Linked DNA regions of Lonchura striata. The protein of the gene in region 3 binds, or shares a complex with, the protein of the main gene of each other region. Links are inferred from orthologs where the notes say so. Each region holds a gene or a part of one and is shown on either strand. Other genes may lie near its edges. The genes, in order: DNAAF10, PFDN6, PDRG1 and ASDURF.

Region 1 (6,895 bases), on a different chromosome or scaffold from region 3:
ATCAATTACCAAATGCCACAGTCCAGCAGTCTCTTTTGCTCTCTCCCTGTACAGATTCCATATTAGCCACGGGAATGTCATTCTGCCTTGGGTCCCACACCTTCACAGTTCCTGGGAAAGAAAGACAATAGATTTTCTATTAGGAATACAGTCATACTGTGTTCACCTTCCTAGAAAAGCCCTTTGCTTTCCATCCTAATCATTCAAAAGACAGTAGCATCTCTTTCAATTCTAGCAAGCCTCACTTTGTTTTGTGGATATAAGAAAAAAACCACAAAACCAAACAGAAACAGAGTGAAAGCATTTGTTAAGGATGCATTTTCTCTAGCTGATATTTTGCATTTATCATGGTTTGTGTTCCTTCTGTCTCACGACCAGTGACAACAGTACCTTTTGCTTATCTGTGGCTCTAGAAGAATTAGGGAAAATCAGTCCCAAGCAAGATTCAAGAGACAGTGTGCAAAGAACTAGTTGCAACAGCTTGTAACTAGTTCAGATGGCAGACTGTGCCCTGCCATCAAGAGCTTGCAGGCTCAGAGGAACTGGGAAGACTTGCAGAGTTCACTAACTCACCATCTCGACTGCCAGTCACAATTTCTGGTGCACCTTCCCCAATTCCTAAGCCACCTACACCATCTATACTGTTTATGATTTCCTTATGACCTTTCACAGAATACACTGGTATTTCAGGAGCTTCTAAATTCCTAGGCAAGAAAGAAAAAGAACAGAAAACATGGCATTTTTCCTTGACACTCAGGATTTGTATAAAAATGAAAGGAAACTTGAGCACAAATCATAAAAGCTCAGATTAACAGTGAGAACAAATATGGATATCACCACCAAGAACCACGAGTCTTTGATTCCTTCTTTGGCTACTACATTGGACTGCTCCAAAAGATTTTGCTCTGTTCTGGACCTCCCTGTTTGTAAAGGCAGTTGTGGGATTCACCACAGCAGCCACTCAGAGCCAGTTTTACACGCTGGGCTCAAAAATGAATCACACTACAGATCAAGATACTCTGTAAAAAGTACATAGACCTGAAAGAAGTACAGAAGTATCTGTACTTTCAGTAGGTCTATAAAATAACTTGATTCATTGATCCCCACCTAGCTCTGACTACTGCTCTCTAACTTCAGTGAATATTGTTGTATCCAGCCATAAGTTTCATGGTTCTTTCCCACAGATTCCCATTCTTTGAGAATCTTTCAGAATTTTATTTTACATTTCAGCTAGTAACTGTCCATGTAATTCTTGCTATTCCAACAAGAACCAGTAGTTCCTTGACACAGGGCAATATAATAATGATGGTAATAAAAAAATCTCCTTTTGACACTACTACTTAATTTGATCATAAATTTACCTAGATATTAATTACACCAATAATTCAGGGACCTAGAGGAAACATTTGATATGTCAAGATTAAAAAGATATATTTAATCTAGACAGGAAATTTAGGTTGAACACAACCTCTTGTTTGTACTCATGCATCCATTTAAAACCCTCTTTTCAGAGGACAACCTCCCAGAACTTTATCAGGTTTTTGTAGCTGCACAAAGAAGATGGGAGTGAAGCAGGACTGAATTAAACAATAATGCAGAATTCTGTGTTTTTTCTACAAAACAGGCATGGTTCAAATACAGTAGCCAGCAAAGCTTGCACTGGGTCCCAACCACGGGCAGCATGGAGAGCATCTCATGCAAAAATCCACAAACAGAAACCTCTGTTCAGACAGACATGGACAACATCAAGTGAAAACGCTTCCAGAGAATATCTGTGCTTACCATATGTTAAGGTTTCCATCGAAATCTCCTGTAGCTAAGTATCTTTGCTGCAGAGATGTAGCACCAAAAGTCCCACATTTTATAGGTTTGGGCTTTTCAATCTTTTAAAGAAAGGAAATGTCTGTGTCAGCACACGGAAAAGGCAAAATCATCCACAGGCTACGCGGATCTTAGGAGTGCACTGGGGCAAGTGTCAGCGAAACACAAGGGGATATTTGGTGCAAAATACTAATAAAATGCTATTGAAGGCAAGTTTGAGTTCAGTCCTTGTGCACAGAAAAGCAGAGGGTCCAGGTTGCTGGTCTAAAGCAAATATTTTGCTTGTAGCCTAGTGGGCGTTATGCACCTGAGGAACTGTTTAGCCTCAGAAGTGAACACTCAAAGGTCAATCTCGGAGAAAAAAATCAACCAAAGAAACAAACAAGCAAGCAAGCAAACATACAAAAACAACCCCAAAACCCAATCAAAAATCCAACCAAACTCCAACAACGAATAAAAAAATAAACCCAAACAAACGAAAGAACACAAAAAAAACCCAAAAAACAAACTCAGGCAATAACTCATATAACACAACACATAAAAAACCATAACAAAACACATAAAAACAACCTACAAAACACAGCAGTAAACAAAATCGCAGAACCACAGGCTCAGTTGGGCTGAAAAAGAGCCTTGAGATGGTCGAGTCCAACCTAGCACCGGCCACTACCTTGCCAACTAAACCAAGGCACCGAGTGCCAAATCCAGCCTTTCCTTCAACATCTCCGGGGACGGTGACTCCATCACCTCCCTGGGCAGCCCATTCCAATGTCTAATCCCCCCTTCCGTGCGGAAATCCTTCCCAAAGCCAATGGAAACCTCCGCGGCTGTAGTTGCCGGGGAGAAGAGTCAGGCTCCCACCCGGCACGCCCCTCCGGGGAGCTGCGGGGAGCGCTCAGCGCATCCCGGGGCGTTCAACACGCGGGTCGGCTCCTGCGTTTTCACCGCCGGGGCTGGGGACGAGCCGGTCCCGAGGGAGCCGGCGCTCACCTCCCGCAGCAGCTGCAGCCGCGCTCCGTTCAGCTCGTACAGCTGCAGCACGCCGGTGCCGCGGGCGGCGCTGCCCAGGCACAGCAGCCGGGCGCTGCGCGGCACCCACTTGCAGTCGAACACGGTGTAGCTCAGCGCCTGCTGGACGTGCGACACCACCTGCGGCCGCTCCGCTCCCAGCACCGCCGACATCCCTCCCCTTCCCCGCCGGCTGCCGGCGGAAACACTCGCCGCCCCCTTCCGCCGACAGCCGCACCACGTCCGGCTCGGCATGGAGAGCGGCGAGCCCGCGGCCGGCGGCTTCACCAGCGTCGTGTCCCGCCGCAGCCGCAGGAAGCGGCGGGCGGGCGGCGAGCGGGCGGCGGCAGCTGCCATGGACACGGCGGAGCCGCGACCCAGCAAGCGGCCGGCATTCCCGCCCGTGCCCGCCGAGGCGCTCGGGGTACGCGGGGCGAGGGGAAACTCCGGCCGGCCACGCGTGTCCGGCTCCCGGCCCCGGGTGTCCGGCTCCCGGCCCCGGGTGTCCGGCTCCCGGCCCCGCGTGTCCGCCCGCCGGCCCCGCGTGTTCGGCTTCCAGCCCCGCGTGTCCGCCCCCCGGCCCCGGGTGTCCCCCCGCCGGCCCCGCGTGTCCGGCTTCCAGCCCCGCGTGTCCGCCCCCCGGCCCCAGGTGTCCGGCCCCGCGTGTCCGCCTGCCGGCCCCGCGTGTCCGGCTTCCAGCCCCGCGTGTCCGCCCCCCGGCCCCGCATGTCCGGCCGCCGGCCCCGGGTGTCCGCCTGCCGGCCCCGCGTGTCCGGCTCCCGGCCCCGGGTGTCCGCCCCCCGGCCCCGGGTGTCCGGCCCCGCGTGTCCGGCCTCCAGCCCCGCGTGTCCGGCTCCCGGCCCCGGGTGTCCGGCTCCCGGCCCCGGGTGTCCGGCTTCCAGCCCCGCGTGTCCGGCTTCCAGCCCCGCGTGTCCGGCTTCCAGCCCCGCGTGTCCGGCTCCGGGTGTCCGCCCGCCGGCCCCGCGTGTCCGCCGCCCCCCGGCCCCGACTCACGGCCGGCTGTGTCTCGCCCCCCCGCAGGTTGGGAAAGGCGAGCTGAGGAAGATCCCCGTGCCGGCCAACAGGTACACGCCGCTCAAGGAGAACTGGATGAAGATATTCACGCCCATTGTGGAGCATCTGCAGCTTCAGATCAGGTTCAACTTGAAAACGAGGAATGTTGAGATCAAGGTAAGGGGAGCGGCTCCTTGGGGCTTTCCCCGGTGGGAAAAGGTTGTGTTAGAGCTCGCAGCTCCTTCCCTGTGTGAAGGGGCTCCAGGGGAGCTGGAGAGGGGCTGTTTGTGACAGGACAAGGAGTCACGTTTACAAATTGAAAGAGGGGAAGTTTAGTTTGGAGATGTTGGGAAGACTTGTTTTACTGTGAGAGTGGTGAGACGCTGGGACAGGTTGCCCGGGACTACCCCAGCCCTGTTCAAAGCAGGCTGGATAAGGCTTTGAGCAGCCTGGTTTAGAGACATTGTCCCTGCCCGTGGCAGGGGGTTGGGACTAGGTGGTTTTACGGTCCACTCCAACCCCTTACCATTCTCTGATTCTGTTACATGTGATAATTTGTGCAAATAAAATTGTCGTATATTTTATAATTATAAATGTTAAGATATAGTCTTACAAGAAGTTTTTAAAACTCAAGCCAGCAACAAGGATTGCAAAACAATGTCAAAACCACCTGGACAGAAGAGGGAGGACTCCATTCACAAGCAATTGAACGTGGCCAGCCCGGAGATGGATCACCCATCAAGGTGGTCCAAGGAACACCCGGACGATAAATATGTGATAAATATCCGAAATTGAGATAGCCAGAGCCATCAGGGAGATACATCTCAATACCAAATTCTGGGAGCATAGGAAACCTTCTACTGCAGCAGTCAAACCTGTGTCTCACTCAGCGCCAACACCCGGGCTCACCACTGACCTTTTTTTTTTATAATGGCTTTTCTTTTTTTGTTTTTTTTTTTTTTTGTTATTCTATAAATTTATATTTGATGCATTTAATAGATTTTCTTAAATTAATAAATTGGATCTTTCACTTATAACAATTCTGCCTCCTGAAAAGCAGTGCCTCTCCTCATGTGTGTTCTTGGTCCGCAGGGTAAAGACTAGAGAAGTCGTAAATCCCACATAATGCTTGGAAAAATGGAAACTGTGTGGTGTCACCTCCCTGGGGACCAAAATCTGAAAATGATTGCTTAGTAGTTAGTGCAAGTAAAATCCAAATCTGTTCCAGAAGGAGCCAGCAGAAGCTGGGAGAGTGTTCTGTTTTTGTAGGAGAAAGTTATGTACTATAGAAAGTTGTGTACATTAAGAAGAATTTTCATCCATGTCTTAGATATGACTTTGTAATTCAATGTTTTCTGGCTATTTAAGGTTACCAAATATTGACCTGACAGTAAACAGTATCTTACATGGGGGCACTGAATCTCCTCCTGCCTTTGTTTGTGGCAGATGATAAGGGCTCATAGTTTAATAGCATGTGCTTTTTCTTTAATGGATTGCACTGGAATACCTTAGGGCACAGACAGCAGTATAAACCTGTAAATCTTGTAGATGCTCATTCTTTATCCTTATTCCTCCTGAGGAATGTTCACACCAAGAGTTTTTAAGGGCATATCTAAAGTTTTGACATACGATTCACTGATTTCATTTTGCCCATATCTATCATGAATATAAAACTTTGAAATTAATTTCATTCACCTGCTAAGGCATATTTAGAATATTGTCATTAGAATAACTCTCCTGCCATCACCATCCTTCTCTTTTTCCTGCTGTTTGCTGCTGGAGTTTAGTTTGTGTTGGTTTTGGGTTTTCTCCACCAAGAGTTCTACTCAGTCAGTGGTGGTGTGGATTTTCAGCAGCTTTTCTCTCCCCTCCAAGCACAGGCTGATCACTTCTAAGTTCTGCTCCTAACTTGCCTGGTCTTAATTTGCAAACATAACTTCTTGTCTTGCAGACTTGTCAAGAGACAAAGGATCTCAGTGCTCTGACGAAAGCAGCTGATTTTGTGAAAGCCTTCATACTTGGATTTCAAGTAGAGGTGAGTCTCCCAACAACCAGATTGTGAGAGATTGCTCCACTTTACTGATCTGTCCCTGGCCTCTCTGCAAATTTCAGTAAGAAATAAAGAGAAAAATCCTTAGGTGGTTTTCTAGAAATCAATGTTTTCTAGAATTGTGACTGGAGTAGACATCCAGTTACTTAAGATAATGCTGGATAAAAAAGTAGCCGTCAAACAGCACGTAAACAGAGAACATAGGCAAGCATAAAGCAATATCCTCTCTCTGAGGTCCTCTGCATTGGTAGACTCTGCTCATTTTTCTTAAGCCCAAGCCAATAACCTCCAGTCTGTGCAAAACTCACAGAATCACAGAATTAACTAGGTCAGAAAAGACCTTGGAGATCATCAAGTTCAAGCTATGACTTTATCAACTAAACCAGGGCACTGAGTGCCACATCCAGTCGTTTTTTAAACACCTCCAGGGATGGTGACTCTACCAGCTCCCTGGGAAACCCATTCCAATGTCCAGTCACTCTTTCTGTGAAGAACTTCCTAATACCCAGCCTAAACTTTCCCTGGTGCAGCTTGAGGCTGTGTCCTCTTGTCCTGCTGCTGGTTGCCTGGGAGGAGAGGCTGACCCCCACCTGGCTACACCCTCCTTCCAGGCAGCTCTAGACAGTGCTGAGGTCTCCCCTGATCCTCCTTTTCTCCAGCCTAAATCCCTCCAGCTCCCTCCATCACTTCTCATCACTTTTGCTCCACACTCTTCATCACCTTGCTGCCCTTCTCTGGGCACATTCGAGCATCTCAAAGTCCTTCTTAAATTGGTGTGCCCAAAACAGTACTGACATGATACTCAAGGTGTGGCCTCACCAGTGCCAAGTACAGGAGCAGAATGCCTTCCTTCCCTGGTGCTGCTGGCCACTGTTCCTGACACAGGCCAGCATGCCATTTGCTCCTTGGCCATGTGGGTACACTGCTGGCTTGTGTTCAGCCAGCTGCCAGCTGAACTCCCAGCTCCCTTTCTGCCTGGCTGCTGTCCAGCCATTCTGTCCC
Region 2 (7,711 bases), on a different chromosome or scaffold from region 3:
TCGGGGTTCATGGGGACCCCAAAATCCCCCCAAAAACGGGTCAGGGGAACCCCAAAATCCCCCCAAAATTTTGGGGGGATTTTGGAGGATCCCAGGGGGGATTTTTGGGGTGATTTTTGGGGGTTTTTTTGGGGTTCCCAGGGCAGATTTTTGGGGTGATTTTTGGGGGGATTTTTGGGGGGATTTTTGGGGTTCCCAGGGCAGATTTTTGGGGTGATTTTTGGGAATTTTTGGGGGGATTTTTGGGGTTCCCAGGGCAGATTTGTTGGGTGATTTTGGGGGATTTTTGGGGTGACTTTGGGGGTTCCCAGGGCAGATTTTTGGGGTGATTTTTGGGGTGATTTTGGGGTTCCCAGGGCAGATTTTTGGGGTGATTTTGGGGGATTTTTGGGGGGATTTTTGGGGTTCCCAGGGCAGATTTTTGGGGGTATTTTTGGGGTTCCCAGGGCAGATTTTTGGGGGGATTTTTGGGGGCATTTTTGGGGTTCCCAGGGCAGATTTTTGGGGTTCCCAGGAGGATTTTTTGGGTGATTTTGGGGCTCCCAGGAGGAATTTTTTGGGGTGATTTTTGGGGTTCCCAGGGCAGATTTTTTGTGGTGATTTTGGCAGATTTTGGGGGTGATTTTGGGTGATTTTTGGGGTGATTTTGGGGGTTCCCAGGAGGATTTTTGGGGTGATTTTGGGGGTTCCCAGGGCAGATTTTTGGGGTGATTTTGGGGGATTTTTGGGGGAATTTTGGGGTTCCCAGGGCAGATTTTTGGAGTAATTTTGGGGCTCCCAGGAGGAATTTTTTGGGGTGATTTTGGGGGTTCCCAGGGCAGATTTTTTGGGGTGATTTTGGCAGATTTTGGGGGTGATTTTGGGGGTTCCCAGGGCAGATTTTTGGGGTGATTTTGGGTGATTTTTGGGGTGATTTTGGGGGTTCCCATGGCAGATTTTTGGGGTGATTTTGGGGGATTTTTGGGGGAATTTTGGGGTTCCCAGGGCAGATTTTTGGGGTGATTTTGGGGCTCCCAGGAGAAATTTTTTGGGGTGATTTTGGGGTTCCCACGGCAGATTTTTGGGGGGATTTTGGGGGATTTTTGGGGTGACTTTGGGGGTTCCCAGGGCAGATTTTTGGGATAATTTTGGGGCTCCCAGGAGGAATTTTTTGGGGTGATTTTGGGGTTCCCAGGGCAGAATTTTGTGGGGTTTTTTGGGGTGAATTCAGGGGTTCCCAGGGCAGATTTTTGGGGTGATTTTGGCAGATTTTGGGGGTGATTTTGGGTGATTTTTGGGATGATTTTGGGGTTCCCAGGGCAGATTTTTGGGGTGATTTTGGGGGATTTTTGGGGTAATTTTGGGGCTCCCAGGGCAGATTTTTGGGGTGATTTTAGGGGTTCCCAGGGCAGATTTTTGGGGTGATTTTAGGGGTTCCCAGGGCAGATTTTTTGTGGTGATTTTGGCAGATTTTGGGGGTGATTTTGGGTGATTTTTGGGGTTCCCAGGGCAGATTTTTGGGGTGATTTTGGGTGATTTTTGGGGTGATTTTGGGGCTCCCAGGGCAGATTTTTTGTGGTGATTTTGGGTGATTTTTGGGGTGATTTTGGGGTTCCCAGGGCAGATTTTTTGTGGTGATTTTGGCAGATTTTGGGGGTGATTTTGGGTGATTTTTGGGGTGATTTTGGGGCTCCCAGGGCAGATTTTTGGGGTGATTTTGGGGGATTTTGGGCTCACCTTTCTGCAGCTGTTGGTATTTCTCCAGCTCCGCCTGGAGCTTCTTCTGCAGCGGCTCCGCCATGGGGGCGATTTTGGGGGGCTGGGGGGGAATTTGGGGGCGATTTTGGGGGGCTGGGGGGGGTTTGGGGTCACCCCCCGCACCCCCAAAATCTCCCGTGACCCCTCAGAGACCCCCCCCAAAAAAAACAAAATCCAGGAGCCCCCAAAAAATCCAAAGCCCCAAAAATCCCAAATTCCCAAAAATCCAAACCCCACCCAGGACACCCCAAATTCCCCTCGAGACCCCCAAATTCCCCTCGGGACCCCCCCAAAATCCCCTTAAGACCCCCCAAATTCCTCTGGGGACCCCCAAATTTCCCTCAGGACCCCCAAATTCTCCTCGAGACCCCCCAAAATCCCCTCGGGACCCCCCAAAATTCATTCAGGACCCCCAAAATCCCCTCAAGGCCCCCAAATTCTCCTCGGGACCCCCCAAAATCCCCTCGGGACCCCCAAAATTCATTCAGGACCCCCAAAATCCCCTCAAGGCCCCCAAATTCTCCTCGGGACCCCCCAAAATCTCCTCGGGACCCCCCAAAATCCGCTCGGGACCCCCAAAATCCTCTGAGGTCCCCCAAAATCCCTTGGGAACCCCCAAAATTCCTCTCTGGATCCCCAAAATCCCCTCGGGACTCCCCAAAATTCTACTCGAGACCCCCAAAATCCCCTCGGGATCCCCAAAATCCCTTTGGGACCCCCCAAAATCCCCTCAGGACCCCTCAAAAATTCATTCAGGACCCCCAAATTCTCCTCAGGACCCCCAAAACCCCTCCCAAGACCCCCAAAATCCTCTCGGGACCCCCAAAATCCTCAGGGGACCCCCAAATTCCCCTCGTAACCACCCAAACCCCTTCAGGATCCCCAGATTCCCCTCGGGACCCCCGAAAACCCACTCGGGACCCCCAAAATCCCCTCGAGACCCCCAAAAATCCTTCCGGGACCCCCAAAATTCCCCCCAGAACCCCCAAATTCCCTCGCGGCCCCCCCTCAAATCTCCTCCTGCCCCACCCAAACCCCCCCAAGGCCCCTCCAGGACCCCCCCGCATTCCCAGGGGGACCCCAAGACCCTCCCGGGACCCCCAAAAATCCCCAAAATCCCCAAAAATCCCCCCAAAATCCCCCCTCGCCCCCCCCCCGTTCTTCACCCTCCGCTCCGCGCGCGGCCCCAACGCCTCGAGCCACGCCCCCTCCGCTCTGCGCATGCGCCGCAGCCCCAAACCACGCCCCCTCCTCTAAGCCCCGCCCACCGCCCCGTTTATGCTAATTATCCCGCCGTGGCCACGCCCCCTCCCCGCGCGCCGCCCGCCGCCCGAGCGCGCCCCCCCCCCCTCCCCCGGGGGTGGATTTTGGGGCGGATTTGGGGGTTTTTGGGGCCCGCCGGAGGTGAGAGGAGCGCGGGGAGGGCTGCGGGATGGGCCCGAGGCGGCGCAGGTGGCGGCGGAGGGCGGCCCGGGCGGCGCTGGCGGCGCTGGCGCTGGCGCTGCTGTGGCTGCAGGGCAGCGGCGCGGGCGAGGAGCTGCTGGCGGCGGCCCTGGCGGCCTGCGAGGAGGGGCGGGGGGCGTGGGGGGCGTGGGGGGACGGGGGAAAGCGGGGGGTGGGCGTGGGGGGCGCGGGGGGTGGGAGTTGGGGGGGCGAGGGGGTGAATGGGGGGCGTGGGGACGGGGGGGCGTGGCTTGGGGGAGAGGGGGCGTGGCTTGGGGGAGAAGGGGCGTGGCTTGGGGGAGAGGGGGCGTGGCTTGGGGAGGGGGGCGCGGGGGTTGGGGATGAGCGGGGGGGCGCTGGGAAATGGGGGCCGGGGGTCCTGAACGGCAGCTCGAGGGTCGAGGGTTGGGCTGGAAATGGGGGTCCCGGGGGTAGAATTGGGGGTCCTGCAGGTGGAAATGGGGGTCCCGGGGATAGAATTGGTGGTCCTGCAGTTGGAATTGGGGGTCCTGCAGTTGGAGTTGGGGGTCCGGGGGTTGGAATTGGGGGTCCCGGGGTTGGAATTGCGGGGCCTGACGTTCAAATTGGGGGTCCCGGGGGTGGAATTGGGGGTCCTGAGGTTGGAATTGGGGGTCCGGGGGTTGGAATTGGGGGTCCTGCAGTTGGAATTGGGGGTCCGGGGGTTGGATTTGTAGGTCCCGGGGGTGGAATTGGAGGTCCCGGGATTGGAATTGGGGGTCCCGGGGTTGGAATTGGGGGTCCCGGGGTTGGAACTGGAGGTGCCGGGATTGGAATTTGGGGTCCGGGTGTTGGAACTGGAGGTCCCGGGGTTCTCCTTGGTGGTCCCGCGGTCAGAACCGGCGCTCCCCAAACCCCCCCCGGCTGCGTGGGTCTCCTGTCGGGGGGCTCCGGCGTCCTCCCCGCTGCTCCCGGCGGCTCCCCGCTCACCCCCCGAGTCCTGCTGGCCCCGGCGCCGTGCTCATCCCCGGGCCCGTTCCTGCTGACGCTGGTCCCCAGCGCCCCGGCTCACCGGCAGCACCGCGCCGCCGTCCGCGACACCTGGGGCGGCCCGTGGGACCCATCCCGGGGCGACACCGGCGCTCCGCCCGCCCGCACCGTGTTCGTGCTGGGCTCCCCGGAGGATCCCCGCGACCAACCGGAGCTGCTGGCCGAGTGGCGGCGGCACGGCGACGTTTTACAGGGCGACTTCACCGACACCTACGGCAACTTAACCATCAAAACGCAGCTGCTGCTCCGCTGGGCTCTCGCCTGCTGCGGGAAATCGCCGTTCCTCCTCAAGGCGGACGACGATTCTTTCCTCAACATCCCGGCGCTCTCCGCCTTTTTGGCCGCGTGGCGCTCTCCGCCGCCTCGCCTTTACCTCGGCCGCGTCCACTGGCGGGTGGAGCCCAAGCGGGACCCGCGGAGCCGCCACCACGTCCCGCGTGGGGTGTACCCGCGCCGCCGGTACCCGCGGTACTGCAGCGGCGCCGCGTACGTGCTGTCGGCGGCGGCGGCGGGCGCGGTGCTGGCGGCGGGGCGGCGGCTGCCGGCGGCGCTGCCGGAGGACGCGTGGGTCGGGGCGGCGGCGGCGGAGGGCGGCGTGGCGCCGCGGCACTCGGCGCGCTTCGGCGGAGCGGCGGGGCCGCCGGCGGAGCGCTGCTGCCTGCGGGGGGCGCTGTTCAGCGCGCACCGGGTGCGGCCCGAGGGGATGCGGCGCCTCTGGGAGATGCTGGGCCGGGGGTGCGCGGGGCGGCCGGGGGTGATGCGGTGTCGGCTGCGGGAGGCGCTGGCGGGGTGGGGGTGGGGAGGGGGGGGGGGGAGTGACGGTAGAGGGGAGGGGGTGACGTCAGAGGGGAGGGGGGTGACGTCATGAAGGGAGGAAAAAAAAAAAAACCAATCCATAAGGGGATGGGGTGCTCCCCCCCCCCCCTCCCCAAAGCTCGTGTCTGGGGGGATACAGAGGTTGGGGGTGTGACGTCATGGGGAGTGACGTCATCAATGAGGGGAGTGACGTCATGGTGGGGGACACCCCCCCTCCATAAGGGGATGGGGTGCTCCCCCCTCCCTCCCCAAAGCTCGTGTCTGGGGGATACAGAGGTTGGGGGTGTGACGTCATTTGGGAGTGACGTCATCAATGAGGGGAGTGACGTCATGAAGGGGGACACCCCCCCAAACCTCGTGTCTGGGGGGATACAGAGGATGGGGGTGTGACGTCATGGGGAGTGACGTCATGAAGGGGGACACCCCCCCAAACCTCGTGTCTGGGGGGATACAGAGGTTGGGGGTGTGACGTCATGGGGAGTGACGTCAGAGGTGAGGGGAGTGACGTCATGAAGGGAGAAAACATCCCCCCCCCCTCCATAAGGGGATGGGGTGCTCCCCCCCCCCCAAAGCTCGTCTCTGGGGAGGTACAGAGGTCGGGGGTGTGACGTCATGGGGAGTGACGTCATCCATGAGGGGAGTGACGTCATCAATGAGGGGAGTGACGTCATGGTGGGGGACACCCCCCCTCCATAAGGGGATGGGGTGCTCCCCCCCCCCAAACCTTGTCTCGGGGGGGATACAGAGGTTGGGGGTGTGATGTCATAGGTGAGGGGAGTGACGTCATGAAGGGGGAAAACCCCCCCCCCCATATAGGGATGGGATCCCCCCCCCAAAGCTCGTGTCTGGGGGAGGATACAGAGGATGGGGGTGTGACGTCATGGGGAGTGACGTCATGAAGGGGGACACCCCCCATATAGGGATGGGATCCCCCCCCCAAACCTTGTCTCTGGGGGGATACAGAGGTTGGGGGTGTGACGTCATTTGGGAGTGACGTCATCAATGAGGGGAGTGACGTCATGAAGGGAGAAAACATCCCCCCCCCTCCATAAGGGGATGGGGTGCTCCCCCCCCCCCAAACCTTGTCTCTGGGGGGATACAGAGGTTGGGGGTGTGACGTCATAGGTGAGGGGAGTGACGTCATGAAGGGGGAAACCCCCCCCCCCATATAGGGATGGGATCCCCCCCCCAAACCTTGTCTCTGGGGGGATACAGAGGCTGGGGGTGTGACATCATGGGGAGTGACGTCATGAAGGGGGAACCCCCCCCCCCCATATAGGGATGGGATCCCCCCCCCAACCTCATGTCTGGGGGGATACAGAGGTTGGGGGTGTGACGTCATGGGGAGTGACGTCATGAAGGGGGAACCCCCCCCATATAGGGATGGGATCCCCCCCCCAAACCTTGTCTCTGGGGGGATACAGAGGTTGGGGGTGTGACGTCATTTGGGAGTGACGTCATCAATGAGGGGAGTGACGTCATCAATGAGGGGAGTGACGTCATGGTGGGGGACACCCCCCCTCCATAAGGGGATGGGGTGCTCCCCCCCCCCCCCCAAACCTTGTCTCTGGGGGATACAGAGGTTGGGGGTGCGACGTCATGGGGAGTGACGTCAGAGGTGAGGGGGTGACGTCAGAGGTGAGGGGGTGACGTCAGAGGTGGGGAAAACCCCACCCCCCCATAAGGGGATGGGGTGCTCCCCCCCCCCCTCCCCAAAGCTCGTGTCTGGGGGGATACAGAGGTTGGGGGTGTGACGTCATGGGGAGTGACGTCATGAAGGGGGACACCCCCCCCCCAAACCTCGTCTCTCGGGGGATACAGAGGTTGGGGGTGTGAGGTCATGGGGAGTGACGTCAGAGGTGAGGGAGTGACGTCATGGTGGGGGACACCCCCCCCTCCATAAGGGGATGGGGTGCTCCCCCCCCCCAAACCTTGTCTCGGGGGGGATACAGAGGTTGGGGGTGTGACGTCATAGGTGAGGGGAGTGACGTCATGAAGGGGGAAACCCCCCCCCCCATATAGGGATGGGATCCCCCCCCCAACCTCATGTCTGGGGGGATACAGAGGCTGGGGGTGTGACGTCATGGGGAGTGACGTCATCAATGAGGGAGTGACGTCATGGTGGGGGAAACCCCCCCTCCATAAGGGGATGGGATCCCCCCACCCCCCCCAACCTCATGTCTGGGGGGATACAGAGGTTGGGGGTGTGACGTCATAGGGAGTGACGTCATCGATGAGGGGAGTGACGTCATGAAGGGGGACACCCCCCCATATAGGGATGGGATCCCCCCCAAACCTCGTGTCTCGAGGGTACAGACATTTGGGGTGTGACGTCATGGGGTGTGACGTCATAGGTGAGGGGAGTGACGTCATTATGGGGGAACCTCCCCTCCCCCCCCAAACCTCGTGTCTGGGGGAGGATACAGAGGTTGGGGGTGTGACGTCATGGGGAGTGACGTCATCGGGAGTGTGACGTCATAAGTGAGGGAATCCCCCCCTTCTGCAGACCCCGCCCCCCCCCGTGTTTGGGGGTGACGTCACGGGGGTGTGACATCACGGGGTGTGACATCACAGGGGTGTGACATCACGGGGGTGTGACGTCATAGGGTAGTGACATCATGGGAAATCCCCCTGGGGATGGGGGTGACGTCATGGAGCAATGACGTCACAGGTGGGGACACGCCCCCCCCCGGGGGGTGACGAACCC
Region 3 (6,003 bases):
AGTCCAGGCTTGGGCCGAGGTCCGGGTGGGTGGGGGCGTGGGTGCTTCTTCTCCCCTTGGGCTGAGACACGACCGCAGACCTCCAAAGCCCTGCCCGATGCAGCCAGAGAGGCCAGCAGGGACTGGCTGGGCTGCACCTGAGCCCTGCTTTGGAGGGAGACTCATAGAGTCATCATAGGATGGTTTGGGTTAGAAGGGACCTCAAAGATCAATTTGTGCCAACGCCTTACCAAGGGCAGGGACATCTTCCACTAGACCAGGCTGCTGAAAGAAGTTGTATCCTCTTTGAGAAGACCAAAGATGGGGTTTGGGAGTAGGCTTTCGTTGTTCCCGAAATGAAACTCGTGAAAGAGTTACATATGTTATTCCCCAGCCTTGGGAATGTCCCTGAAAGTGAAGTACCAAGGCCACTGGAGTCTGGGTGCACAAGAGCCCTGACGCTGCCCCGCTCCGGCGCTCCACCTCTCCGCTCGCTGCCCGCGGCAGCTCGGACACAAGGTGTCGGGCAGAGCGAGGGGCCGCACCCCGGGACAGGAGCTCAAAGGAGGAGCAGCGCTGTGCCGGCATCCCTGGCACTGCTGGGCGGGAAAGGGCTGCGAGGGAAAGGGCTTCCTCTCCTTTGTGGCGGGTCTCCAGGGAGGGTGACTGCATACAGCAGCTGCCTCCTGGAGGCAGCCCCAGCCCCCAGCCCCCGAGGCTCAGCCTGGTGCCTCTGCCTGCGGAGGAGCCCGGCTGGAGCCCGGCCCGTGGTCAGCACGCCGTGCCACATGGAGAGGAGGAGGGTGTTTGATCCCGGGAAACACAGCTAACTTCCAAATCCTGCCTTGTAGGATGGCCAGAGGGATCAGCACAAACCGGGGGTGGGGTAAGCCTGCATTCCTGGGATGAAATCCAGGGGGTGAAGATGTTACTCAGCACAAGGCAGTGGCCGGGCCCTCGGCAAGGCTCTCCCCGTGCTGCATGTATTAGCATCGATAATGAAACACCTCACCTTGAGATGCTCCTGACAGATCCCCTCCACAAATGCCTGCCTGGGGGAGGGGATGCTCCCAGCATCCCAAAGCCTGAAGAAAGCAGCCTTTCATCAATAACCAGGCAGGGCAGGGCCCCTTCCAAGGATGGGGTCCACTGGCCAGAGCCCCTGTCAATATTTGGCCACTCCAGACCTCTTTGGGCTTGGTCCCTGGGGGCTCTCTGTCTTGGCTGGGTGATGGAGCACAGACCACGTTACCATGACGGTGGGCACAGCGCCAGGGAGAGGGGACTTGGAAATCAGGGAGAGACAGACCCACCTTTCTCCCCTGACCCTGAAACACCCCCTCTGAAGCAGCAGTTAAAGATCCACAGCCTGAGAACATGGAGACCGTGGTTTGAAGTCTGATTTATCTTAACAACAGGCCCCAGCAGCCACATGAAAGAAGAAGAGAGAAAAAAAGCCTTATAAACATCCCTGAAGCTTCCTGTGCAGCTGCCAGCAGGCAGGGAGGGTTTCTGGCTGCATACAGAAAAGGGCTGCAAGGAAGAAAAAGGAACATGATGAAACCAAACCTGCTCTTTCCACAAAACACACAGCAAAGCAAAGCAGCTCCCGGCAGCGGGTGGGTGGCTGCTTCCCCTGAGTGCCCAGTTCCCAGGGAACTGGTCCAAATGGACCTCTGGTTCCAGTCTGAGTCCAGCCTCCAAGCAGAATGTCTGCCCCTGGTGCTGGCTCCAGGAGGAGAAATCCATGATGATTTGTGGCTGGCTCAGAGCTGGCTGGGGAGAGGCCGCAGAGTGCAGCACCAGCCACTTCTCACTGCCCTGAGAACGTTTTCCAGATGCCCATGGCTTGGCGATCCCTCAGCTGTGCTTCCCCCATGCCTGTGCTGAGCTGGAACCCACTTTCCCAGGGAGAGCAGCCCCTGCCCTTCCATGCAGCCCAACATTCCTGGCAAAACCCTGTCTTCACTGCACTGTCATTGGCAACCCCAGAGTCACTGTTTCTTTCCACTGCTGCCAGGACACAGCCAGCCTGCTCCCATCCCTGTTCCCATGTCACATCTCATCCCATCCCCATCCCCATCCCCATCCCCATCCCCATCCCCATCCCCATCCCCATCCCCATCCCCATCCCCATCCCCATCCCCATCCCCATCCCCATCCCCATCCCTCCTGCCCAGACTCTGAAAGCCCTCCCTCCTTCCTGCTTTTTCAGATCTCCAGCCAGCTGCTCCCACCGACAAATGAGCATTTCCTAGCATTGGCATCCAGCCCCAATCCCAGTACATTTTCTGGCTGATGTCAGGAAGGAATCTAACCCGAGTGTGGATCATTCCCAGCCTGGAGTGCCTGTGTGTGCCCCAGCAGTGGCTCCCACTGCTCCCCTGAAGCTTCTGTACTTCATTTGATGCAGCCACAGACAGAGATCTCAGTTAACTGAAACAAATGATCTTATGGGATTAGGGCCAGTAATCTTCCGATCTGGGTAATCTCCCTTAAGGGATTATTTGCCCACAGAAGTGTGGTGACCACCAGCCAGCTGCTGCCTTTCTCTCTCCATCCCTGTCCCCTGTGGTCCTCATCTCTGGCAGCTCAGAGGGGCCACAGCAGTGGGGTCACCACCTTTGCAGAGCTCCTTGTCAAATGAGTTTCATGAAGTGCATGTGCCAGGGCCCCCAAGTGCTGGGGCTCCTCCTCTCCCCAGCCCCTATTTGCTGCTTCAGGCAGGTTCTTGGGGCTCCCTCCCTTGGAAGCACTGATCTAAAGCAGATCAGAGGTCCCCCCACTATCACCAGGAAAGCAGCAGCTGGGGGGCACAGCCATGGTGGCAGAGATGGACAGCTGGGGACAGGGCTGCATTCAGAAACTTGAGATGCTGTTTCAAGGCTCTGTCCAGAGAAGGGACATGGGACATGAGAACCCATGTGCCCTGTTACCCGCCAGCCCTGGGTGTGCTCCTGGGGGCCCCTTTCCCTCTGCAGAGTGCACACGGTGAGGGTCTACCAGTCCTCACCATCAGTGCTGTGTCTCTGCATCTCCCACACCCCATTTTTGCAGCTCCTCTTGCTCATGGCTGGGTGGGGCAGAAAGAAAGGGATAAAAAGGATTTTGAGTGGCAATATATTTGCCTTCCTGCAGGCAGGGGTGTTCAGAGCAGCAGATGGATATGGTCGCCTGCCAGAGCATTCCCGGGACCAGCCCTTGCCTGACACAGACTGGGGGGCACCGGGGCTGGCTGAGGGTGAGTCAAGCTGCCGGGACCACAATTGGATCCAGTCCCTGGGGATGGCAGGTCCTGGACGCTGAGCTACAGATGAGCCACCAGCTGCACGAAAGGAAACCTGAGCTAATCGCCCCTCTCTGAGTGCCCTTTATTGCTTTCTGGGATGACAGAGAGGTCACCTGATGCTCCAAGGGCCCAGCTGCCAACAGCGGCACCGTGCTGGGAAAGCAGCGAGGAAGAGGAGACAGACGGCGGTGCTGGGGGCGAGGGGATGGGCTGTGAAAAGTGATAAATAATTCACACACAAAGGGACCAGGCAGGCCAGGGCTCTCAGCCCCTGTCCCTCAGGGCTGTGCCGAGCGGGGTGGGTTGGGGGCCGGCGACGGGGCCGAGACCCCCACTCCGGGGCTCGGTGCCACGCGGCCACACCGAGCCCTCCATCCTTCTGCCGGGCACAGAGGCAGCGCGGAGCCAACCGCGGCACCGCTAGTCTGCACTACGGAGGAGACCCCGCGCTGGCAGCGGGCACGTCCGTGCCAGTGCCAGCCCACGGCCGTTCCCGGCCGCTCTCGCCCCACGCGTGTTCGCGGCCCGTCGGTCCCGCCGCTCCCCGGCGGCGCTCCCGGCGGCGGCCGCCAGAGGGCGCGCTGAGCCCGGCGCCTCCGCCGCGGAACCGCCCGCGCGGCCGCGGCGGCGGCCCGGAGCCGGACGGCGGCGGACCCGGAGCGGCCCCGCCATGGCCCGGGACCCGGCCTTCGTGCTGCGCTACCTGGCCGAGGTGGAGGAGCTGGCCGAGGACGTGCTGGCGGCACGGCAGCAGGTACGGCCCGGCTCCGGCGGGCCTCCCCCGCCCCGCTCTGGCCCGCCGCCGGTAGCCCCGAGTCCCGGCCGCTCCCGCCTCTCTCGCTCCCGTTGCAGATCGTGGACCTGGACGTGAAGCGGAACCGCAACCGCGAGGCCCTGCGGGCGCTGCACAAGGACCCGGAGCCCGACGGTGAGGCCGGGCGGGCTGCGCCCACCGTGACCTCGTGGCCGCGGGTCGGGCTCCGCTGACAGCCCCTTCCCTTCCCTTCCCTTCCCTTCCCTTCCCTTCCCTTCCCTTCCCTTCCCTTCCCTTCCCTTCCCTTCCCTTCCCTTCCCTTCCCTTCCCTTCCCTTCCCTTCCCGCAGAGAAGGCCATGGTGTGTTTCGGGGGCATGTTCATCGAGCTGCCGAAGGCGAAGACCCGGGAGATGCTGCAGCAGGGTGAGCTCACCCCGAGGGCTCCGTGTAGCTTTAAGTGATTTAATCAGCACCGTAATTAACAAGATGTTGGCTCAATTAACGGACTTGTGCCCAGGGATGGGCTCTGAGGTGCCCAGAACCTCTCGAGAGGCTGATTCTGGCCCGAGCTGTGCCTTGGGAAGCACACGGGGAAGCTGCTCAGCCCCGGGGGTGGTGCAGGCAGGGTGGGACTCCCCTGTGCCTGTGTTGTGTCCCATGGGAAATTGAGCCTTCATCCCAGAGCCCACCGCAGTCCTCCTCACTCCCTCCTCTTATCCCAGACCAGGCAGAGCTGGATGAGGAGATAAACAACCTCCGGAAGGAGCTGCGGGTGAAGGTCAACCGGCTCTATGAAGCTCAGGGTAAACTCTCCCGCTGGAACCTGCTCAGTGCTTGGGAGCTGACTCGTGTATCAGCAGATTCCTTAGTTCCATGTGTTCCTGCAGCCTCTTTTCCACTGGTTTTGCAGTTCCCTCCCTGCCCCAGCAGCGTTGTTTGTCTCTGTGTGGAGCTGCCACCCAGCAGCATCCTAAACCCCCTCCAACCCTGTGCTGGGGTGACCCCACTTCAGCTTCCCGGGCTGTCCCTGCCCTCCCCACAGCCCCTCTCGAGTTGAACATGAACTGCTGCACTTCTTTGGTGACAAAATCCTGATGTTTTCAATGTGTTTTCTCAGGTAAACCTGAGCTGAAAGGGTTTAACCTGAATCCCATGTCTGCTGAGGAAATGAAGCTCATCAACCGCATCCTGGAGGGCTGAGGTGGCTGTGCCATTGTCACAGCGTGTTTGGCTGTCACTGTGGGCTCATGTTGCAGCAGCCACAGTCCTTGGGATTTGTAGGACGTTGGAGTGTCCAGAGCCCACCCAGGTGAGGGCCCTGGGAATCCTTTGCCTCCTCAGCTGCAGCTCTGCAGTTTCTTTGGACCACAAACCCTTTCCTGCTCTGTGCTGGGTCTTAGCACAGTGCTGGGCAAAGGCCCACAGCTGGGGTGGAAGTGGGATCATTAAAATCAGAGCAGTGAGACATTCCTGACTCCATGTGCATGTTCCTTGTTGGGGGTTTATGTGAACACTTCTGGGGCTTGGCTTCAGAGCTGCTCCTTTGTCACGCTGGGAACAGGAGTAGGAGGGATTGGGAATCCTCCACATGCCTGAAGCACAGAAGAGGAGTTGTGCACGCCTGTGGCATTCAAACAAAGCAAAGCTGTACATCTGAGGCACGTCAGGAATCTCTAAGGATGTGTAGGGAGGAGCAGGAGGAGGCAGCATCCTTTTAGTCTTGCTGGGAAAACATGTTCCACTGTTGGAGGGCAGGAGATGACAGAAATGAGGCTTTCAGGACTGGATGAACTCATAAAACTGGGGTATGTTTTAAAAAGCAGCCTGAGGAGGGCTGAGCAGGAATAGTCACTGAGTTTGTCTTGTAGTAAAAGGACAATTGATGTCATTAGTAGTAGTTTCTGCAAAGGTTTTAAAATTTGCTGTTTCTGTGCTCCTCCAAGTGATTAACTTGGTCAAGAACATAAGTTTTTAAAAAAA
Region 4 (7,479 bases), on a different chromosome or scaffold from region 3:
GTTCCAAGCCTCTCATATGCCTGCTCTTTGGTGGCACCAGCAGAAGAGCTTCCAGCATCCAGGCACCAGGCTTCCATCTTCATACTGCAAACAAAATATTTGTTTTGTAAGACACAGCATTTGATTTTTTTAAGGTCCCTGAACATTCCACTGCTCAAAATGTGTATCTGGAACTCTGATCCCATATTCAAAGTAGTTACTGCAGCAAACCTGTGCATTGGTTATTCAGAGTACGTGAGGGACTGCCCTGCAACAGACAACCCCAAATCTCATAGTTCTGCATTTCTAAGTGAAACTAGCACTAACATGAACTTAACTCTCTTAAAGTCTAACAAAGTGCACAACAAATTGTTCTGCACTAAGGAAGGAAAAATTATGAAAATTAAACGTCAAACTGTCTTCTCAGCTACAGCAACATAAGACCTTGAGAAAGGCTCTCATTAGAGCTACTTCAGTTTTATACTGTAGAACAGAGTGAACTTGGAAACGTCTATTTTTAAATCCACTCATACTTAAATCACAGATGAAAGACTGCTGGGAGTATTTTACAAATAAGTTGTTTGGTTCAGTACTTTCAGAAGCTTTGAGAGATGCAATCAGATTGTCAAAAACTAATGAGAGACTGATGATAGTTCTCAGCTACTTTGACAACAGCCTTAAAATCTTCCATGTGAAAGTGATGAAATTCTGCTTCTAATCATAAAATGAATAATTTAATACTTGTGAACTACATAGATTTTTTGTGCAAATGAGTTCTAAGATTGCTTTGACAGTGTATCAGAAGTTAAGTGCTAAAAAAACTGACTTCAACACCGTAAAAGTGCTCAGACTTCTTCTTTTATTTGTGGTGACAGGACTTTTAAAGTAGAATGATTATAGGTTTTGCAAGGTTCCTTGTGTCATTGACAATCTAGGTACTTAACCTAAGGAAACAAACTACAACTTTGCCTAGATTCCAGATAACCGGGTGTGTAAGTTAACCTAACTTCCTTCAAATCCTGATGTCTCAGAAGAATTAGCAAAAGGTTTACCATAAAGCAAACCCAACTATTTTCAACTATTTTCGTTTTCTTAGACTGGTATAAATTAGCAAATTATTAAAATACAGGTTCAACTGTGAAATTAACACAGCTTGATGTTACAAATCAGAATCTACTTATTTGGATTATGGTGATACAGTATCTGAATACAAAATAAGCTAGTGTCAGAACTGAGGATGCTCCAAAACAGAAAAAAACCTATATAAAAGCAATATCCTCTGACTGTGCTGCTCTCTCCTCCTAAGAGACTTCATCCACCTGTCTTACATGGCTGGCCCCACTCTTGACTGTCTGAGCAGCCAGCACAGCTTCAGCTTGCTCTCTTGTGGCCAACATTAGAGCTACAATTATCCTATTCCCCTCCAAGCACCTCTGTGACTGGTTCTTCTAAAGCATGACAAGTTTCCTCAGAGTACAATCACTTACAGGTGAACCTCATAAACCACTCAGAGTTGAACCCACAATTGATTATGGTGGCTTAACATGTTCCCAAGCATCAGCTGAGAGATACAGAATTGAGTGCATGAGGATTTCCAGCCCACAGCAAAAACCAGGGAAACTTTGAGGCTGCTAAGCCTCCAAGGCAGTATCAGTCCTACCCTGTGCCTCACAGCTGGAAAATCCTCTGACACAAATATACTGTCAACATCATGAACAGAGGTCTTCAAGACTTGACAGTGTTATCACAAGGATGGCCTCACCTCTTCAGCATGGTTTTAGCAGCAGCCTTTTGGAGCTTGAGCTTGGTTATTTAAAGGTTACTGTTTTGGCCATGCATTTGCTAACAGGTCACTGCAACTTCAGAGATTTTCTGGCATCAGTAACTACTTCTGGTTTTTAGCTGTTTAAATGACTTGTTGGGTAATTTCTGTTATTTAAAAAATATTTTTAAAGATGCCAGATACTGAAAGGTGAGGGCTTTAAAAGACTGAAATATTATTTGATACTTTATTAACATTGTATCGGGCATTGTTAACCTCCAGAAACAGTTTTATGCTAGTAAAAGAAAAATAGTTTAGAGCACCGAAGTTGGCACAAGTGCACAGACACAAGCAGAATGACCAGAGATGTATCACTGAATGACATTTCCTGCTTAGCTGTCAGCCAGATGAGCTCTAAGTGCCCTCCCCAGCTCTCAGGAGTAACAGTGCAGGCACATTGCAACACCAGAACTGCAGCAGCCCTGAAACAAACTTGAATGGAGAAAATACTGCTCTGCGCAGGGAGTGCAAAGGTGCCAACATTTCCCTTTGCTGACTTGCAAACACAGCGGGTCTTATAGTGGGTTTGACTGTAATTTCAGGAGTGATCTTGTGACATGAATTCATTCATTTTAAAAGGAACTGTCAAAAGCCCACTCCATATCAGTAGAAGAATCATTAAAACCATTCCACATTTGCTATTATGCCTCAAAACCATTATCATCACTCTTCTGAAACAGTCAATAACACTGAGTGATCAGGTTTTGATTAATAAACATTAACAGCATTTATTACTGAACATAAAAAGGATAATCAGTGCAGAAATTACACTTTGACTACTGTGTTACTTGATCATCAACCTTTGTAACACATGAACAACAAATAAAACTTGGGCAGCAGAGGGTTGGGAGTAACTCAGATTAAACACATTACTCACTAGAACAACCAGTGACAAACTACAAAGCACACTGAGCAATAGCACCAAAACTGATCTATGTGACCCAGATATGTGAATTTCTTATAGAAGTCAAAGGACAAGCCCCAGAACCATTCCACCCCCTGGGTAACAACTCCCCAGCAGCTTCAGCTGCTCTGCTTTGGGACTGCTGGAATCACAGAGCACTGTGCACTGCTGAGAAAAACAGATCAGGTCCCTCACCTGTCCCTCACACAGCCCCACACCCAGCCGTGGTGAGGCAGGGCTGGAGGCACAAGTGTGTGCTCAGAGGTGGGGGGAAGAGCAGGAATGACCTTTCAGACAAGTGTAACCTCAGTTTCTCTTTCTGTTAAAAGCAAATAAGCACAACTTTTGCAAGTTAGTATATTGACAAATATTCCTATAGCCAAATTGTCTTTCTTCATCCTTCTGCTAGGAGCCAAAATCCTTGTTCTTCCTATACGGCTTCCAAAAATTTTGATCAACATTACAGACATTCCAACCAAGCTCATGGATACAACCAAGGTGCAATCTTGCTCACAAACTCTAAGTTACCAAAATATATAATATATATGATTATGTGAGATTAAAGAAAATAAAGGCAACACTCTCTTACTACAGTTGCAAATATTTCAAATGGTTCATGAAAATTTGAACTATATTTGCACTGCAGTCAGTACCACAAGGACCACAAGTGGGATAGAAATCTCATAAAATCCTATAACTGAGCAATCGGTAGCAGTCTGTAAGTTTGGATTACTCTTGAGTGTTTAGAATAATATACAATGTTTAAAAAGAAGGAAAGGTATTAAAATGAGACAATGATGTATTTATTAAGACACGTAGACATATGCATCACTGTGACATATCTATAGCAGAATGGAAGAGACAAAGAAACGTTAAGATCACCTTAGGTGGACGGTCTTAAACATCCATCTTGTATAATAATAAAGTCATAGAATCCTGGAATGCTTTGGGTTGGAAAGGACTTCAAAGATTATCTCATTTCAATCCCCTGCAATGGGCAGGGACTAGACCAGGTGTCTCAGAGTCCTGTGCAACCTGGCCTTGAACACTTGCAAGGATGGAGCTGCCACAGGTTCTCTGGGCAACTGTGTGTCTCACATCCCCCGTGTAAGCAATTTCCATCCATCCAGTATCTAACCTAAATCTGCCCTCTGCCAGTTTTAGTCCATTCCCCCTTGTCCTGTCACTACATGACCCTCTAAAAAGTCCTTCTCTTTCTTGTAGAAACATATGCTAATAATGAACATAATGAAACATACGATCCTAATGTCTGTAAATAGTGTAAATTCATATCTCTTCTGGAATACCTTTAAGCAAACCGCTTAAAGGGGTTTGAGAGCCCGCTGCCGACAGTAGCCCGGGTTCACACCACACCAAGCCGACACGCTGCACAAGGAGCACAGCTGCCAAGCCTCATTCCAAGCGTCTTCTCCACCTTGGGCCTGTGCCGATGCCCTCCCGGACCGGCTCCCAGGAGCTCCGTGGGCACGGCACGGCACGGCGCGGCACGGCGCGGCACGGCGCGGCACGGCGCGGCACGGCGCGGCCGCCGCACTCCCGGCTCCGCCCGGCCGGGGGCGCGAGCTCCCTCAGCACTCGCGCCGGCCGGCCCGCGCCCCGCGCGTGCTCTGCCGCGCCTGCTGATTGGTGTCCCGTCAGGCGCGTGCTCTGCCGCGCCTGCTGATTGGTGTCCCGTCAGGCGCGCGCTCTGCCGCGCCTGCTGATTGGTGTTCCGTCAGGCGCGTGCTCTGCCGCGCCTGCTGATTGGTGGCGCTGTGCGCGCGCGCGCCCCGGGGCGGCAGCTGCGCAGGCTGCGTGGGCAGTGCGGCTGTCGGCGCGGTCGGGGCCATGTCGGGCCGCCCGGCGCGGCAGGAGGATGGGGAGAGCGCGGCGCTGCGCCACAAGGAGGAACTGAGCCGGCGGGTGAGGGGAGGCGGCCCCGCGGGGCCCGGTGCCGGGGTCCGGGCCGAGGCGCGGGGGCTCCTGGAGCCTGCTGCCTCGGGTGCGAGCAGCGTGAGGAAGAGGAGGGAGGGTGCCGTCTGGGACCGGGGCTCCTGTGCCCGGGGTTGCTCAGGCCCCGAGAGCGGCCTGCATTTAGCGAGCCCGCGTTGCCTCGCTAATAGCTCGCTCGTCGGATTGGTATTTTGGATCTTACTGCTCCAAATTGAGCTTGAAATGGCAAGTGAGGCGCACTGAGGGTTTTTTCACAGAATATCATGAGTTTCAAGAGACGTCTAGTGGTCGAGTCTAACTAACTCTGGCGCTGCGGAGAACACCCCAAGAATCACACCGAGGGCCTGAGCACGTTATCCAAAGGCTGTTTGAACTCTGTCATGCTGGTGCTGAGACCACTTTCCCTGGGGAGTTCAATGCCTAATCACCCTCTGGGTGAAGAATCTTTTCCTTGTATCCAGTCTAAACATCCCTGACCCTGCTCCAGGCCGTTCTCTGTGGTACTGTCACTGGTTACCAGTGAGAAGAGACCAGTGTCTTCCTCTGCACTTCCCCACCTAAGGAACTTGTAGACTGCTGTGAGCTCTCCCCTTAGTCTCCTCCAAGCTGGACAAATCAAGTATCCTCACCCGCTTCTCAAATGGCTTCATCTTTATCCTTGTTCATCATTATCTGCCCAAAATGTCTGAAGATATTTCAGCCATAGAGGCAGATGCTCCTAATTTATCTGTTCCTTCCTTCCTTGTCCCCACAGCTTTGTTCAGTATGCAATCTGCCAAGCCCTGTGGAACTTTCACTCCAAAAAAACCTCATATCAATTTACCTGTATTCCAATAGAGACTACAGGGAAGCCAGAGAAGGGGCTTTTTGTCAGGAACTGTAGTGGTAAGACAAGGAGTAATGTGTACAAATTGAAAGAGGGCAACTTTGGGTTAGATACTCGGCAGAAATTTTTTGCTGTGAGAATGGTGAGGCACTTACACATTTTGCCCCGAGAAGCTGTGGATGCCCCAACCCTGGAAGTGTTCAAGGCCAGGGTGGATAAGGCCTGGAGCAGCCAGGTCTAGTGGGATGTACCCATGGCAGGAAGCAGGTTGGGTCTAGATGATCTTTAAAGTCCTTTGCAACCCCTTAATATTATGTGATTATATTAAAATAAATTACTTCTGTGTGGCCATGTATAGACAGTGATGCTTTTAGTTGCTTGGAAGCTACAAAGCTGGGACATCAAAGAGCTACAGGTTTTCACTTCTGTTGTGCCTAAGTGGCTGGTTTAGTCTGGCAGAGGATGGCTCTGCTGCTTTGCCTTGTTGGTGTTGTAGATACCAGAGATTGATGTAGCTGCTGGAAAAGTTGTAACTTTCAGTGTGCCATACAGTTTGGCTGACCTCACTCCGTGGCAGCTTGCTACTGTTGTACCAGTTCCAGGAGACACAAAGGAAGAGCAGAGAAACCCATGTTTGCTTCTAACAAAAAGCATTGTGCCCTCTGAACAGATTTTGTTTCAATTTTTGGCATTTGCAACTTCTTCTGATTACTCTTTAGCTGTGAACTCTTTAGTTCACAGCTGCCATTGTAAAAGAAAATGGGAATATCTGCCACATCTGTCAGTGCAGAACAGAGTGGTAAATCCCACTAAGGAAGTTAATATAGAAATCTAGAGCAATAAAAAGGCTCCCATTGCTCCTAATACAGTTCTAGAGTGTTTGTATTTTCATTAATTTCCTTTTGAATCTGGAGCATACCTATCATTATGAAGTGTATTCTTGATATTATGCTAATTTTTAAAAGTTATTTGATGTTTTATTAGTTGTGTACATGTTCTCTTCCGAGGGGGGGAAAATGTGCTCTCTGATTATAAATAGCTGTAGCTACTCTGGCTTCCCAGAGGCTTTTGAGGGGAGGAGAAATACCAATATATGCAACATAGCCTGTTTCTAGAGAAATTAAGTATGTAATTTTTATACTTACTTTGTCTTCATTGATTCATGTGGAGAACAGCAGCTATACATGCATGTTGCTGTCTTAAAATATCAGTAGACATGCTCACCACTGGGATTGTGATATGATGTCTTGTCTTTATCATTAAAATCAAATGCATCTTTTGGCTTTCAGATTAAAGAGCAGAAGGTTGTAGTTGATGAGCTTTCTAATTTGAAGAAGAACCGGGTAAGGATTTACAAATTTGCTTTTAACTATTTAATTTCAGCAGAGAAATTAAAACATAAAGACAAGAAGGACAACAAAATCAGAGCATGCTGTCTTTAATTTGTTGTAATCTGGATTTTAATAAACATGTGGTCTGCTGTGCTCAGAATAATTTGTCCTGCAAATTATTTGATCATGTATACTTGGGGCTTTTTTATGTTTTGAGTTATTTCATTAAAATTTTTGAGTTTATTACATGGATTCATGAGGTATTCTTACTTTTTCTATGCTTTTGTTTAAAATAGAATGTGATCCCTTGTGGATGAGGAAAAGAGAAATTCAAAATTGTCTTAGGCTGAGCATTAAATGCTTTTGATAGTACAGCATTAGAATGCTGGTGTTCACAGGGCAGAACTTACACCTTCACTTTTATACCAGGAGTGTCTCTTTGGACCCACAGCAGCTTCTGCTGCAGTGTGGTTCCAGAATCTGCTGCTTTGACTTAATACAGTGTGGGTTTTGTTTTACAGAAAGTTTATAAACAGCAACCCAATAGCAACATATTCTTCCTTGCAGACCGGACAGAAATGCTGTCTCAGTGCAAAAGTAAGTTTGCAGTGTTCAAGTATCTCAAATAGTTAATGTTTAAAAGCTTATTTGTAGCTGATTTGAA

What was found.
Region 1: PDRG1 (region 3) and DNAAF10 share a complex: the UniProt entries of both Homo sapiens proteins name them as parts of the PAQosome complex. The link is inferred for Lonchura striata from reciprocal best matches to the Homo sapiens genes PDRG1 and DNAAF10.
Region 2: PDRG1 (region 3) and PFDN6 share a complex: the UniProt entries of both Homo sapiens proteins name them as parts of the PAQosome complex. The link is inferred for Lonchura striata from reciprocal best matches to the Homo sapiens genes PDRG1 and PFDN6.
Region 4: PDRG1 (region 3) and ASDURF share a complex: the UniProt entries of both Homo sapiens proteins name them as parts of the PAQosome complex. The link is inferred for Lonchura striata from reciprocal best matches to the Homo sapiens genes PDRG1 and ASDURF.

The regions. Positions count from the first base shown.
Region 1 is NC_134605.1:2,910,359-2,917,253, forward strand, and holds the start of DNAAF10 (dynein axonemal assembly factor 10), read right to left. Parts: upstream 3,022-6,895; 5' UTR 3,004-3,021; coding exon 2,812-3,003; intron 1,884-2,811; coding exon 1,783-1,883; intron 705-1,782; coding exon 574-704; intron 112-573; coding exon 10-111; intron 1-9. Other genes in the region: RNA-binding protein PNO1, read left to right, coding at 3,083-3,253, 3,871-4,020, 5,795-5,878. UniProt on the Homo sapiens protein: Key assembly factor specifically required for the stability of axonemal dynein heavy chains in cytoplasm.
Region 2 is NC_134631.1:618,026-625,736, reverse strand, and holds the start of PFDN6 (prefoldin subunit 6), read right to left. Parts: upstream 3,001-7,711; 5' UTR 2,961-3,000; coding exon 2,904-2,960; intron 1,799-2,903; coding exon 1,717-1,798; intron 1-1,716. UniProt on the Homo sapiens protein: Binds specifically to cytosolic chaperonin (c-CPN) and transfers target proteins to it. Binds to nascent polypeptide chain and promotes folding in an environment in which there are many competing pathways for nonnative proteins.
Region 3 is NC_134619.1:7,630,334-7,636,336, reverse strand, and holds PDRG1 (p53 and DNA damage-regulated protein 1), read left to right. Parts: upstream 1-3,892; 5' UTR 3,893-3,938; coding exon 3,939-4,022; intron 4,023-4,120; coding exon 4,121-4,196; intron 4,197-4,371; coding exon 4,372-4,446; intron 4,447-4,745; coding exon 4,746-4,826; intron 4,827-5,140; coding exon 5,141-5,223; 3' UTR 5,224-5,490; downstream 5,491-6,003. UniProt on the Homo sapiens protein: May play a role in chaperone-mediated protein folding.
Region 4 is NC_134610.1:30,857,971-30,865,449, reverse strand, and holds the start of ASDURF (ASDURF protein), read left to right. Parts: upstream 1-4,479; 5' UTR 4,480-4,553; coding exon 4,554-4,628; intron 4,629-6,773; coding exon 6,774-6,827; intron 6,828-7,336; coding exon 7,337-7,412; intron 7,413-7,479.